2 linked regions of the Neurospora crassa OR74A genome follow. The protein of the gene in region 1 purifies or fractionates together with the protein of each later gene. This does not show direct contact. Links are inferred from orthologs where the notes say so. Each region holds a gene or a part of one and is shown in the gene's direction. Other genes may lie near its edges.

Region 1 (6,754 bases):
GGACGGGAGCGCTGTTCGCCGAGATGGAGGCATTGAAAGACCGAGTCTTCACCTCATGGATCTTTGCATATTTATCGATCGAGAATTCACCAGCTAATCGTTCCATTCACGTCGAAACAGAAAACCGGAAAATGAAGGGTGCATATAGCCAAACTCCCGTCTCTCAAGTTGTTCATTGCATGCATAAATGACTAACGTGGCACATGCAGCAATTCTCCAGCGCGTGCTCTCAGCCTCTGTCACGGTCGACAACCAATTGGTTTCCTCTATTGGCCAAGGCATTCTCGTTTTGGCGGCTGTTGCTCCCGGCGACACGGTAAAGGAGGCTGAGGCTTTGGCATCCAAAGTAATCAAGTTGAAGCTGTGGGATGATGAATCAGGAGGCCGGGTACGACACTTGCTCACACAATACGCATGGACTGAGGGAACTATTTCTAACGGCCGGCAAATCACAGTGGAAGAAGAATGTCCAAGACATCGGCGGCGAGGTATTGTGTGGTGGGTGATATCTTGCCGGGTTGGCCAGACTCTCACTGCAAGACTAACATGATGTAGTCTCTCAGTTCACCTTGCTTGCTTCCACCAAGAAGGGCAGCAAGCCCGACTTCCACGGAGCCCTAGGCCCCGATGAGGCCAAGACCTTGTATGACCTGTTTTACAAGAAGGTTCAGGAAGGCTATAAAGCAGAAAAGGTTAAAAACGGTGTTTTCCAGGCTATGATGCAGGTTGCCCTGGTTAATGATGGACCGGTGAGCAATCCAACACTGCACTAGTACGCCAAGGGCCGTATTAACTTGACAGTAGGTCACCCTCGAGGTATCGGCCACGCCGGCAGCGCAGCAGCAGCAGCAGCAGCAGAAGAAGAAGAAGAAGGAAGACCAAAAGCTTAACCAGAAGCAGCAAAAGCAGCCACAACAAGGGGCCGTGGAAGACGACCAAGCGACGGCAGACAAGGTGCCTGGCTTGACTAATCAAGTCTAGGTGATAGAGTGGTTGAGGATTGCGAGATGGACCTAAGAAGGGTCGATGTAATTGCCAAATGTAGAGCCGGAAAAGATGATCTGCTAGACGTAGAGTTTAGACTAGAGGTTGATAGTTGGGTTGTAAAAGTGTGCTCGGACCAGTGTACTTGCCGCATGTCGCTGTTCTTCTTCGATGCCACAGCCCACAAGAGATGTAGAGGTACCCTTCCCGCTCTAATCTCTACACTGCGGCATCTGCCTTTACACTACATGGTGTCGGGTATGGACCCCTACGGGTTGCATCTTGAAGATACTACTGGTGGAGCCTCGGCTGCTTTAGCCGCTGCCGCTGCAAGTAAAGTACCTACTCCGTACTTGTATGCCTTGGCGAGTGGAATCAGGTATCTTTGGGTACAAAGTGGATATCAGACGAGAAGAGGGAAATGGGACGGGAGCTAAAGCACATCGCTGCCCCACCATTCTCGAATGTTCACGAAACCAATTCACCCCGCCCTGCACCCAGCTTGTTGAACCCTGAGACGAAATCATCACCGAAAGCGACTCCCATACTTTGTATTTCAACCAGTCTACCAGACGCCCTTTCTCTGTGCAGTCTTGTTCGCAACGTGCAGTTGTACTATATATTGTCCGCCTATAAACCCATTTCCTCCGTCATAGTCAGAATAGTAGCTGGTTCGGACAGGTAAGTAAGCTTCTATTTGCGCTCGCTCTGTGGACATCACGACTCCCAAATTGTTTGCCATCTTCCCTCCCTGTTTACGATTTGTGCCATGGACAAACAATTTCCTTCCACCGTAGTTGTCTGAGCTATATATGCTAACTGAGCTCGTTTAGTTTACGTACAGCTTAGACTCGTAGCAAGATCTCTTGAAATACTGATTCCTAGATTCAAGCCAACCATGTCTTCTACCGACGACGTCAAGCAGGCTCGCAGCCGCGTCTTTTTCGACATCACCATCGGCGGGAAGGCAGCCGGCCGTATTGTTTTCGAGCTTTACAATGACATTGTCCCTAAGACGGCCGAGAACTTCCGCGCTTTGTGCACCGGCGAGAAGGGTGTTGGCAAGTTGGGCAAGCCGCTACACTACAAGGGTTCCACGTTCCACCGTGTCATCAAGCAGTTCATGATCCAGGGTGGTGACTTCACCGCTGGAAACGGCACTGGTGGCGAGTCCATCTACGGCGCAAAGTTCGAGGACGAAAATTTCCAGTTGAAGCACGACCGTCCATTCCTCCTGTCCATGGCCAACGCTGGACCCGGTATGTTGCGATGTCGTTTAACTGACGGCCATCACTTTGCGGTTCCGGTCTTTTACTGACGCTTATGTCCTGCAGGTACCAACGGCTCTCAGTTCTTCGTCACCACCGTTCCTACCCCACATCTCGATGGCAAACACGTCGTCTTTGGCGAGGTGCTGAGCGGCAAGTCAGTCGTCAGACAAATTGAGAACCTGAAAACTCAGGGCGACAAGCCGACCAAGGACGCCGTCATTGCCGACTGCGGCGAGCTTAGTGGCGACGCTGCTGTGAGCGCTGACACAAAGACTGCCGACGCCTACGGCGACGAATACGAGGACTTCCCCGAAGACGAAGCCACTGACGGCCAGCCTCTCTCTGCCTCCAAGATCCTCAAGATTGCGACAGACTGCAAGGACTTTGGTAACAAGGCTTTCAAGGCCGGCGACCTCCCTGTGGCCCTCGACAAATACCAGAAGGGTCTGCGCTATCTGAACGAGGATCCCGAGCTTGACAATGAGCCGGCTGACACAAAGCAAAAGCTGGACGCCCTGCGCGTCTCGCTGAACAGCAACGCGGCTCTCATGAACATGAAGCTGAGCGCTTGGGACGAGTGCATTCGCAGCGCCGACGGCGCACTTGCTGTTGCCACTATCTCAGACAAGGACAGGGCCAAGGCTCTATACCGTAGGGGTTACGCCCAGGTGCGCATCAAGGACGAGGACAGCGCCCTGACGAGTCTGGAGGAGGCCAAGAAGCTAGCGCCTGAAGATGGCGCCATTGTTAACGAGCTGGCCGCTGTCAAGAAGGCTGCCGCGGCTAGAATGGCGAAGGAAAAGGCTGCCTACAAAAAGTTCTTCTCCTGATCAAGTTGAGGCAATGGCGACTTGAAATTATTTCGAACGTTTGTGTGTGGTTGAAGTGCTCCTCGGGTTAGAGGGTATCTACAAAAGGAGTTATCGGCATTGAGCGGGTTGGCACCAAGGTCCAATTACATACAACACCTAATGATATCCACATTGGCGTTTGGGGAGTTCAAGCTGTGTCAAGGCTGGAACATGGACTCTTGAAGGCAGTGTGTTTCGAGCAGTCACCAGAGTCTTCACAGCCTCACGGAATAGAATGTTTTTTTAGGCCACTTCGCCGCTTTTGTAGGCACAGCAGTTTTCCTCCGTGACGCATCCCCAGCAACAGCAGAAAACCTCGACCCCTCGGATTCAGATCTGGAGGCATAGGTACGGATTCGGCGGTTGGTGCTGCCGGATAGTCCGCCATGTCAATAGCCAGCATGCCCTCAGAGAATGGGCCATAACCATCATGATCGTTGCTAAAGACAATAATCAAACAGCTAAACAAGAATTATTTGCGGAAGAATAGAGAAAAGAATGAGCGCTCAGTCTGATACCCTGTCTGAAGACTCGCATTCCATATCGTAGGCATAATCGTCAATGTACGTCCCTTTGTACGGGAGCCGTTGCCCCCATTCTCAGACCAGGGTTTCCAAAGCCTTCCAAAGCGAGCATGTGCCAACAACCATTGGTGCCTCTAAATCAAGTCATTTCAAATTCCCTTCTCGTGCCAGTGTTGGTGAGCCGTGTGATGGCGATCCCCTTGGGATTTACTTGAAGACGCCCTGGCGTCTTTGCCTGGATGCTTTTCTTTACTGTCTTTCTCTCGTTCCGCGCCTCGGTCCCGCTCTCGGCCATTCTCTTTACCTGCAGCAGTGGCAGATGCCGATGCAACTGCCGACGTACTGCCTGCTTCAGGCACCATTGTCCCCGTGATGAACCCGTGACCAGGACTACCTCCGTTGCCAAACTCGGGTGAAGCCGTTCTTGTCTTGCGAATAAATCCTGTAAGGAACTTTCGTGGTGCCTGCATTCCATTGCGCAGCCCCTTCACACTTCCGCCCGACATGGACGACAGCTGCTCGCTGCTCTTAGAACCTTGCCGTATAGCGCTCGAGGCGTTCCTTATGTCCCTGCTGCCAATGCTGCTGCTGCTGCCACCTCCCATACCAGGCCCATCCATCTCACTACCTGAGGAGCCGGGCGCTATGCTCCCGCCGTCTATCCAAAAGATCCCAGTAGCGTTGCCGTGCGCAGACAAACCGAGGACATCGCCATAACTCAAGTTGTCCAGTGCATCAGAGAGACGAAGCCGCTCATCCGGTGGCCTGCTGGTAGTTTCACCAGCGCTTCGGCGAGTCTCCATCTGCGAGAAGCAATGCATTGCGCGTTGGTGGAGCGTGGTGCATAGACGATGGAAATGAAGTAGGTCGCCTTCGCAGTTGGAAGAGTCCCAGTCTGACTCGGGATGGACTTTAGCCCACAGTTTGGCTAAAGCCGCAAAGTTACGCGCATGATCGACCAGGTATGGGAGCGAAGGGAAACCCTCGCGAGCTAGAGGTGATAAGCGGCCCAGAATCGTTAGGGGGGTCGAGTAGGGAGCAGGCACGCTGTTGCTGGTACTTTCGGCCGGAATGGCGCACACGGCGTCAGCAAAATCCTTGAATGGCTGGCGCTGTTTTTGGAGAAACTCGGTCATTGGCTCCATCCATGTCTCCTTCTTGCTGGAGATGTTAAGGTTGGCTAGAGCCTGGATGGTCTTGGCGATGAGAGTCAGAGTGCGTTGTGCACGCGGTTTGGGGTGGTCGCGCAAGAGGCCGAAAAGTTTTGGGTTAAGGATAGCTGGGCAGAGGAAGCGGAGGAAGAGAAATCCGGACACCGAAGTATAAACTGCAGTAGCAGTGCGGATAAAGTGGCCATAGCGATCCTCTGCAACAGCCCGTATATATTTCAGTACGTGACGGATCTCCGACGGCAAACGATGCGCGGACGATGCGATACAGCGCCAGACAGCGCTGGTCAGCTCGATTAGCTTCGCCCAATGTTGTTGAATATCATCGCCGTTCTGCATCCTACTCGGGTCAACTTCGCAATCAAGGTCGAGCTCGTTGATTTCACGTATCTTTGCTGCCAGAGTCTCCTCCAGATATTCTTTGCCTAAGCGTCGCATGTAAATTTCAAAGGCCTGTGTCAACAATGAGTTTCCCCTGAACAGCAAGCTCGCCTCGCCCGGGAGCGTCCTGCTCATGTCCTGAACCGTCTGCCACATTTTGTCCGTGGAAGCGATCGAGTCATTTGACATCAGCCGCTGGTTGAACCGCGATTGCTTGCTGGCCGTTTGGCTCCCTATCGCGTCAATTTCTTCCTCTACCAAGGTCACCAGCCACTCTGTTGCCTTTCCAGAAACCTGGAATATATTGACGAATATTTCTGCGAGCTTCCGTAGGTTTCCAGGCATCACGTCAGCTATTTGTGTCGTCAGCCCTGACCCAAAGCGGTGTAGGAGCTCCGAGAGAGGCTGATATTCTCTGGATTGCAACACGACGACCTCTTCATGGTGCACCTTGAGAAGCATTGTTCCAATCGACTGCTGTCGTGCGTCATACACTTGGAGCCACTGCTCATGATCTTTTCCACGCTCCAGAAGATGCAAAGGGATGTCGACAGCACCGCACAACGCCTCGCTCAGCTGGCCTGTTTTGGGCAAGCCAAGAGTGGCCTGAAGCTGGTGACTGAAGCTTTCGGTATTGCCCACGATCCGTTTTAGAACCACCGATAGGTAAGGTAAGGAGGGAGGAAGATCCGTAAATTCGCAATCCTCTCGCCAAAAGGGGTTCTTGGTGTTGAATTTGATTGATGTCCGGCCTCGAACCTCGCCATCCAGTATGACCTCGGCGAAGTAATTACCGACGGCAGGGTCTGGGTCTGCAACACTTTTGTTTTGGCGCTCCATCAGGTTTCCCTCTTGAGCAAATGTTCGACTCCGTAGCCTTGCCTCGGTGACTCTAACCTTGACTGTTTTTTCGACTCTGAAAACTTCTCCTTTGGGCACTGAGCTGAGGTTGGTCACCTCGTATACACGTCCTCGGCTTGTTGAATCGAGCCCGTATAGATCAGGCACCGCAAAGGCTCTGAGAAGGGCGAACCAAGCCTCGAAAAGCAGCCTAGACTCCAATGATATATATACTGGGCGCAAAATTGACAATTGAGTGGATGTAGGGGAGTAGATGGGGAAGATACCTATACAGTAGTTTTCGTTTAGCACTGTCTTGTCCAGCTGCTGTATAGCTGACCTGGACAGCTGAGACAATTCGATCATGGCCAGAAGCGAGACATCGTGCTCTGTCATGAGTTTGAGTTCGCCGTTGTCTGACAGTATGCAAGAAACACGTTTCCAGGCCATGTGCGGTATTTGCAAGTCTCGCGCAGAGGGACGTTTGACAATGGCCCGTGGGGAGGTGGCGAGGCCTTTGTCCCAGAGCATCACTCTGCCGACCTTGATGACGGTAGCCTCCCGTAGGCCGGAAGAGGAGGCCCGACGCTGCATCTCGCTCCTCAGCGGTGGTAGAGCAACGCTGCTCCCTGATCTTGTCATGGTGTTCTTGGTGCCGGAAGGCCGCAGCTGCTGCCAACACAGCAGGGCAGCCAGCCACAGATCATACTCTTCTACCGCTGAAGGGCACAAGA
Region 2 (6,759 bases), on another chromosome or scaffold:
ATCGATCTACCTTTACCGGACTACTTATACTTCTTAATATAATAGCGGCGTTTAAATCCATTAAACTAACCGTTAGAGAAAGAGGGTACAATAAGGAGCCGGAAGTTAGGTATCTTAAACTATAGAGACTTAGCCGCTTCTTTAATTATATCGCCGGAGATAGGAAGTTAGTTATTCTCTATTCGAATAACCCACTCGAATAGAACCTTCTCGAGGATAGGGAAGTCCGCTAAATAAACTTTAAAAATACTAGTAACGCCCCTTATAAACGCCTTCTTATCCAAATAAGCGAACTTAAGCTTCAGAAATTCGGATATAGTAGACTAACTAACAAGGTAGCCTAATTCTTTAGTAACCCATACAACAACCTCGCGTTAAGTATATTTAGGATTATCGTAAATAAACACACGAATCTTTTGACGTTGAAGCTCGTTAATAGGGTAACAACAATAGTTTCTTTAAATAAGCATAATATTAATCTCGAAATCTAACATAAAAGAGGGCTCGTTTCTAATCGTAAGAGTAAACAAATAACTTCAAAATATAGTAATTTAAGTAAATTAACAAGAGGGACGAAACGGCTGGGCGGAGTATACTAACCAGTACTAGCTTCCAGAGGGTAAAACGTATCGGCTATTAAGGGGTTAACACTCCTATTAGTAGGTGTTGGGAGCTGGCGGGAGCTATCAGACGGTTGTAAAAATAACGATTTTAGTGTATTAGTCAGCAATAATCTTAATTTAAATCGTAAATTAGAGGTTAATCGTTATTACCATATTATCGCCATACAAATCTGCACTGTTCCCCATAATCTGAACGTTATAGACAGAATATCGTTATACCTCTGATCGCTAATTACAGGGTTACCAGTACTTGTAAGAGCTTACAATCCCGAGCAGACCGGTCCTTACCCGGCGAAAACAAGACCCACTCCGAGCCGGATGGCCCATTTTCCCTGGCGGACTTTCCGGGTGGTGGTGCATACAGTGAGATGATGGCACCGGCCAAGACCCGAAGCACAAACTCAACATACTTGGAGCGGAACATGATCTTTGGAATTCCGCACTCTTGCAAATCCTTTGGCATGCTGTATGACTCGGAGACTTGACTCCATCAACCCAGTTGCTTATCCGTTTCCTCACAGTGTACGTCCCGTTATATTGCAAACACAGAGGTACATGAAGCTCTCAAGTCTCGATATACAGTCAGCAACTGACACCAACACGCACTGCGTGGGCTATGGTGAGCGCCCGCCGCCAGAAGACTTCGGCCCGTGAGGGAAGTGAGGGCTACGGGACGGTTGAGATCGGTGTTAAGATCCCGACAACCGGACCCGATGCGAACGATGACTCTGACGAGCCCCAAAGAGCAAGCGATACCGCTGCTCCATCACCCCACAGATGGCTGGTTGGCGTACGTAAGAGGAAAACCTCGCTTCGATCAGCAGAAGCCCATTTTGTTCACCTCTTCTGTAGGGATACAAAAGGTTAGCTTGGTACGACGATCGAACAAGAAACAGGGAGCAGGCAGACGGTAGGAGAGCCATTTCCTGTGCAAAAAATTAAGGTTCTTTGCCACTCGCAAGAACCGAGCTAACCATTTCTATCCCTGCAGAGGTGGAGTTTACCCCATCACGATTTTGGCGAGGACAACCAGATGCATACTGCGTACACTGCATATGTATCATGTAGGGCAAGCAAAAAAGATGGTTTCTGCCAATGCTGAAATTTTAGCGAACATATCAACATCGAACATCGGATGGTGATTGTGACAACATGCTGCAACTCTGCCGGTCCTCTCCTGCCGTCACGGGCCTCACGGCATCGCATCGGTCCTAATAATGATGGTACGTAGTCGAAGACGACCGATCGGCAGTGACAAAATAGGGACGGCGAAAATGCCGGACACCTGGACGGACGGGCCCCGGATTGGTGACAGGGGACAGCACTTGTTGACATGGATTTTTGTGGTGGTGATGGTACCCACGGTCGCACACGACAAGATTGATGACACCTGAGTCCAGCACCCAAAACACCACCAAACTCAGTCTTACACCACGCAAATCAGGAACTTTCATTGTATTGAATGCTCAGCGACGGCGCCTTCATTGTCTATGCAGTTGTGTAGTCTTTGTGGTATCGGCTCAACGCATCTACTATGCAGTACGTATAGTCATGGTGTCTTTTAGTGTACGTTTAAGCCGCTCAGCCTTTCGCCGGGTCCAAGGTCAAAATCTGAACCCGGGTCCGGGTGTCATCAAGATTTTGTCCTGGGCGACCCACGGTACAGGGTCTTTGACAAACCCCCCCACTTAATTCTCTTCACCTGTAATATCATTGGTTTTCGGCTTTGGCTCTAGACGAACTTGGCAGGCGATGCAAGCTTGAATCGTCTGGGGCCCCCTCCAAGACGGTCGTTCAGTGTTCAGGGGACCCCCGCTGCCCCGCGCTAAATCTTTGCCTGCCGGATGTGCAGGTGTCGCCCGCGCGGTCCTGCGGCGCTGCCGGCCCTGCCAACTCCCGCTGGACCCGCCCCTCCAGGTTCTCACGAGCCACCGAAGACGGCATTGGACAATGGCGTGAATAACGGAAAACTTTTCTGAATCCCACTCGCCTCGCTCCGTCGCCCAGGCCGTCTGTCCCCAACCCAATTACGGGCACAGCGTGGCGGGCTGACGGACTGGCGGGGCTCCTCGAGGCTGCCGAAACAAGACAAAAAAAAAAAATATTTACCCCGTGGTCGAGTCCTGGGATCCTTTCTCTTCCTCTCCTCTCCTCTCTCTCTTCCTCTTGCTATCAAGCAGAGGCCATATCGAGCTTGGATAGTGAGGATATCCAGCTGAAACATACACATTCACCAACATAACCTTGCCCGTTTCTCGCTGTTCATCCCCCAACGAAAACGAATCAGCTCCTGAGCTCTTCTTGACGAAGCTCTCACCATCTTTGACGTCCTCTCAACCACCGTCTTCCATTCTCGATTCTGTGCCGCTTTTTCACTACTCTTTTCTTTTCCACTATACCCTTCTTACCATAGTCATTTTTCTCTCTTTTTTGTTTATACTCTAAAAGTTCACCTGTTTCCATCATGGCTGCCACCGTCTACCGCCCCGCCACGGCCCCCATCGCCGATGCGCCTTGCGAAGGCCTTGTTTGCCTGGAGCTTGAGGATGGCTCTGCCTACCAAGGCTACAGCTTTGGTGCGCCCAAGAGCATTGCCGGCGAGCTTGTCTTCCAGACCGGCATGGTCGGCTACCCTGAGTCCGTGACCGATCCTTCGTACCGCGGTCAGATTCTCGTCATTACCTTCCCTCTTGTTGGAAACTATGGCGTCCCCTCGCGGGAGACCGTCGATGATCTGCTTAAGGATCTCCCCGCCCACTTCGAGTCCAACCAGATTCACATTGCCGGTCTCGTTACCGCCTCTTATGCTGGCGAAGACTTCTCGCACTTCCTCGCCACCTCGTCCCTTGGAACATGGCTCAAGGAGCAGGGCATCCCTGCCATGTACGGTGTCGATACCCGCGCCCTCACCAAGCGCATCCGCGAGAAGGGTAGCATGCTTGGTCGCATGCTCCTCCAGAAGGAAGACTTGGCTGTCAGCGCTCCTTCTCTCGGAGTTCCTGGCGACTGGAAGCCTCACTTCGAGACTATCGAATGGGTTAACCCCAACGAGAAGAACCTCGTTGCCGAAGGTAAGCAACATTTGCCCTCCGCTAAGATGGACAGGCCATTTCTAACACGCTACTTTCAGTCTCGATCAAGGAGCCCAAGCTCTACAAGCCCGATGAGGCCACTGCCCTCAAGCACCCCTCGGGTCGCAACCTTCGTATTCTCTGCCTCGATGTCGGCATGAAGTACAACCAACTCAGGTGCTTCATCAAGCGCGGTGTCGAAGTCCTCGTTTGCCCATGGGACTACGATTTCTCAAAGGAAGAATATGATGGTCTGTTCATCTCCAACGGTCCTGGTGACCCGAAGGTCATGGACACCACTGTCGAGCACATCTCTGCCGCCCTGCAGAAGAACAACACACCCATCTTCGGTATCTGCTTGGGTCACCAGCTGCTCGCTCGTGCTGCCGGTGCCAAGACGGTCAAGCTCAAGTTCGGTAACCGTGGCCACAACATTCCTTGCACCAGCATGGTCACCGGAAAGTGCCATATCACCTCGCAGAACCACGGTTATGCTGTTGACGCTACCACTCTCCCCACCGGATGGCAGGAGCTGTTCATCAACGCCAATGATGGCAGCAACGAGGGTATCATGCACGTCGACCGCCCCCACTTCAGTGTCCAGTTCCACCCTGAGAGCACCCCCGGCCCCCGCGACACCGAGTTCCTCTTTGATGTCTTCATTCAGACTGTTGCCAAGTGCACTACCGATAACACTCTCCTCCAGAAGGGTGTCGAATTCCCCGGTGGAACCACTGAGGAGAATGAGAGACTCCACCCCCGTGTCGATGTCAAGAAGGTCCTCGTCTTGGGCAGTGGTGGTCTCAGCATCGGTCAGGCTGGTGAATTCGACTACTCGGGATCTCAGGCCATCAAGGCTTTGAAGGAAGAAGGTATCTACACTGTCCTCATCAACCCCAACATTGCCACCATTCAGACCTCCAAGGGCTTGGCCGACAAGGTCTACTTCTTGCCAGTAAACGCCGAGTTCGTCCGGAAAGTTATCAAGTACGAACAGCCCGATGCCATCTACTGCACCTTTGGTGGCCAAACCGCTCTCTCGGTCGGTATCCAGCTCAAGGATGAGTTTGAGGCTCTTGGTGTCAAGGTTCTCGGTACCCCCATTGATACCATCATCACCACGGAGGACCGTGAGCTCTTTGCTCGCAGCATGGAGTCCATTGGTGAGAAGTGTGCCAAGTCCGCTTCGGCCAGCAGTGTTGAGGAGGCCCTCAACGCGGTCAAGGACATTGGTTACCCGGTTATTGTTCGTGCAGCCTACGCTCTTGGTGGTCTCGGCAGTGGCTTCGCCAACAACGAAGCTGAGCTCGTTGACCTGTGCAACAAGGCGCTGGCAGCCAGTCCCCAGGTTCTTGTCGAGCGCAGTATGAAGGGCTGGAAGGAGATCGAGTACGAGGTTGTTCGTGACGCCCAGGACAACTGTATCACTGTGTGCAACATGGAGAACTTCGATCCTCTTGGCATTCATACCGGCGATTCCATTGTCGTCGCGCCTTCCCAGACGCTTTCCGATGAAGACTACAACATGCTTCGCACTACTGCTGTCAACGTCATTCGCCATCTTGGAGTTGTCGGCGAGTGTAACATCCAGTATGCTCTGAACCCCTTCTCCAGGGAGTACTGCATTATCGAAGTCAATGCCAGATTGTCGCGTTCCTCGGCCTTGGCTTCCAAGGCTACCGGATACCCCTTGGCTTTCATTGCTGCCAAGTTGGGTCTCGGTATTCCTCTGAAGGAGATTAAGAACACCGTTACCAAGGTGACCTGCGCTTGCTTCGAGCCTTCTCTGGATTATGTTGTGGTCAAGATGCCTCGTTGGGATTTGAAGAAGTTCACCCGCGTCTCCACTCAGCTCGGCTCTTCCATGAAGAGTGTCGGCGAGGTCATGAGCATCGGCAGGACATTTGAAGAGGCCATCCAGAAGGCTATTCGTGCCATCGATTTCCACAACCTTGGCTTCAGCGAGTCCAAGGGTGCGCTCATGTCCGTCGACGACGAGCTCCAGACCCCCTCTGACCAGCGTCTATTCGCCATTGCCAACGCCATGCACGCGGGCTACACTGTCGACAGAATCTGGGAATTGACCAAGATCGACAAGTGGTTCTTGTCCAAGCTCAAGGGCCTGAGCAATTTCGCCAAGGACATGACCAAACTCACGGCTAACGATGTTGTTGGTCGTCCTGATCTGCTCCTTCGCGCGAAGCAGCTTGGCTTCTGCGACCGTCAGCTTGCCAACTTCTGGGATTCCAACGAGCTAGCTATTCGTCGCATGCGTCTTGAGGCAGGAATCACTCCTTTCGTCAAGCAGATCGACACCGTCGCCGCTGAATTCCCTGCCTTCACCAACTACCTGTATCTGACCTACAACGCCAGCGAGCACGATGTTTCGTTCGAAGACCGTGGTGTCATGGTTCTTGGTTCGGGTGTGTACCGCATTGGTTCTTCCGTCGAATTTGATTGGTGTTCCGTTCGGGCCATTCGCACGCTCCGCGAGTCTGGCTTCAAGACCATCATGGTGAACTACAACCCTGAGACCGTCAGTACCGACTATGATGAAGCCGACAAGCTGTACTTCGAGAACATCAACCTGGAGACCGTTCTGGACGTCTATCAGATGGAGGACGCAACCGGAGTGTTGGGAGCTATGGGTGGCCAAACCCCCAACAACATTGCTCTGCCCCTTCTTCGTGCTGGCGTCAGAGTTCTGGGTACTTCTCCTGAGATGATTGACACTGCCGAGAACCGCTACAAGTTCTCCCGCATGCTTGACCGTATCGGTGTCGACCAGCCGACTTGGAAGGAACTTACCAGCTTCGATGAGGCGAAGGCCTTCTGCCAGAAGGTATCGTACCCGGTGCTGGTCAGACCTTCCTATGTGCTTTCTGGCGCTGCCATGAACACTGTCTACTCCGAGGCCGATCTTGAGTCCTACCTTCAGCAGGCTGCCGATGTCTCTCCTGAGCACCCTGTCGTCATTACCAAGTACATCGAGAACGCCAAGGAAATCGAGATGGACGCTGTGGCCAAGGATGGAAAGGTTGTTGGACATTTCATTTCTGAACACG

What was found.
Region 2: the proteins of NCU03853 (region 1) and pyr-3 purify together in Saccharomyces cerevisiae (affinity purification with mass spectrometry; 5 studies listed by BioGRID, with this or other methods). This does not show direct contact. The link is inferred for Neurospora crassa OR74A from reciprocal best matches to the Saccharomyces cerevisiae genes CPR6 and URA2.

What each region holds. Positions count from the first base shown.
Region 1 is NC_026506.1:1,889,883-1,896,636, reverse strand, and holds NCU03853 (peptidyl-prolyl cis-trans isomerase), read left to right. Parts: upstream 1-1,438; 5' UTR 1,439-1,665; intron 1,666-1,817; 5' UTR 1,818-1,882; coding exon 1,883-2,243; intron 2,244-2,318; coding exon 2,319-3,085; 3' UTR 3,086-3,779; downstream 3,780-6,754. Other genes in the region: NCU03854 (D-tyrosyl-tRNA(Tyr) deacylase), read left to right, coding at 24-138, 210-388, 456-498, 556-749, 805-981; NCU03852 (GTPase activating protein), read right to left, coding at 3,780-6,754. UniProt on the Saccharomyces cerevisiae protein: PPIases accelerate the folding of proteins. It catalyzes the cis-trans isomerization of proline imidic peptide bonds in oligopeptides.
Region 2 is NC_026504.1:2,539,202-2,545,960, reverse strand, and holds the start of pyr-3 (pyrABCN), read left to right. Parts: upstream 1-2,588; 5' UTR 2,589-3,087; coding exon 3,088-3,694; intron 3,695-3,753; coding exon 3,754-6,759. UniProt on the Saccharomyces cerevisiae protein: Multifunctional protein that encodes the first 2 enzymatic activities of the de novo pyrimidine pathway: carbamoylphosphate synthetase (CPSase; EC 6.3.5.5) and aspartate transcarbamylase (ATCase; EC 2.1.3.2).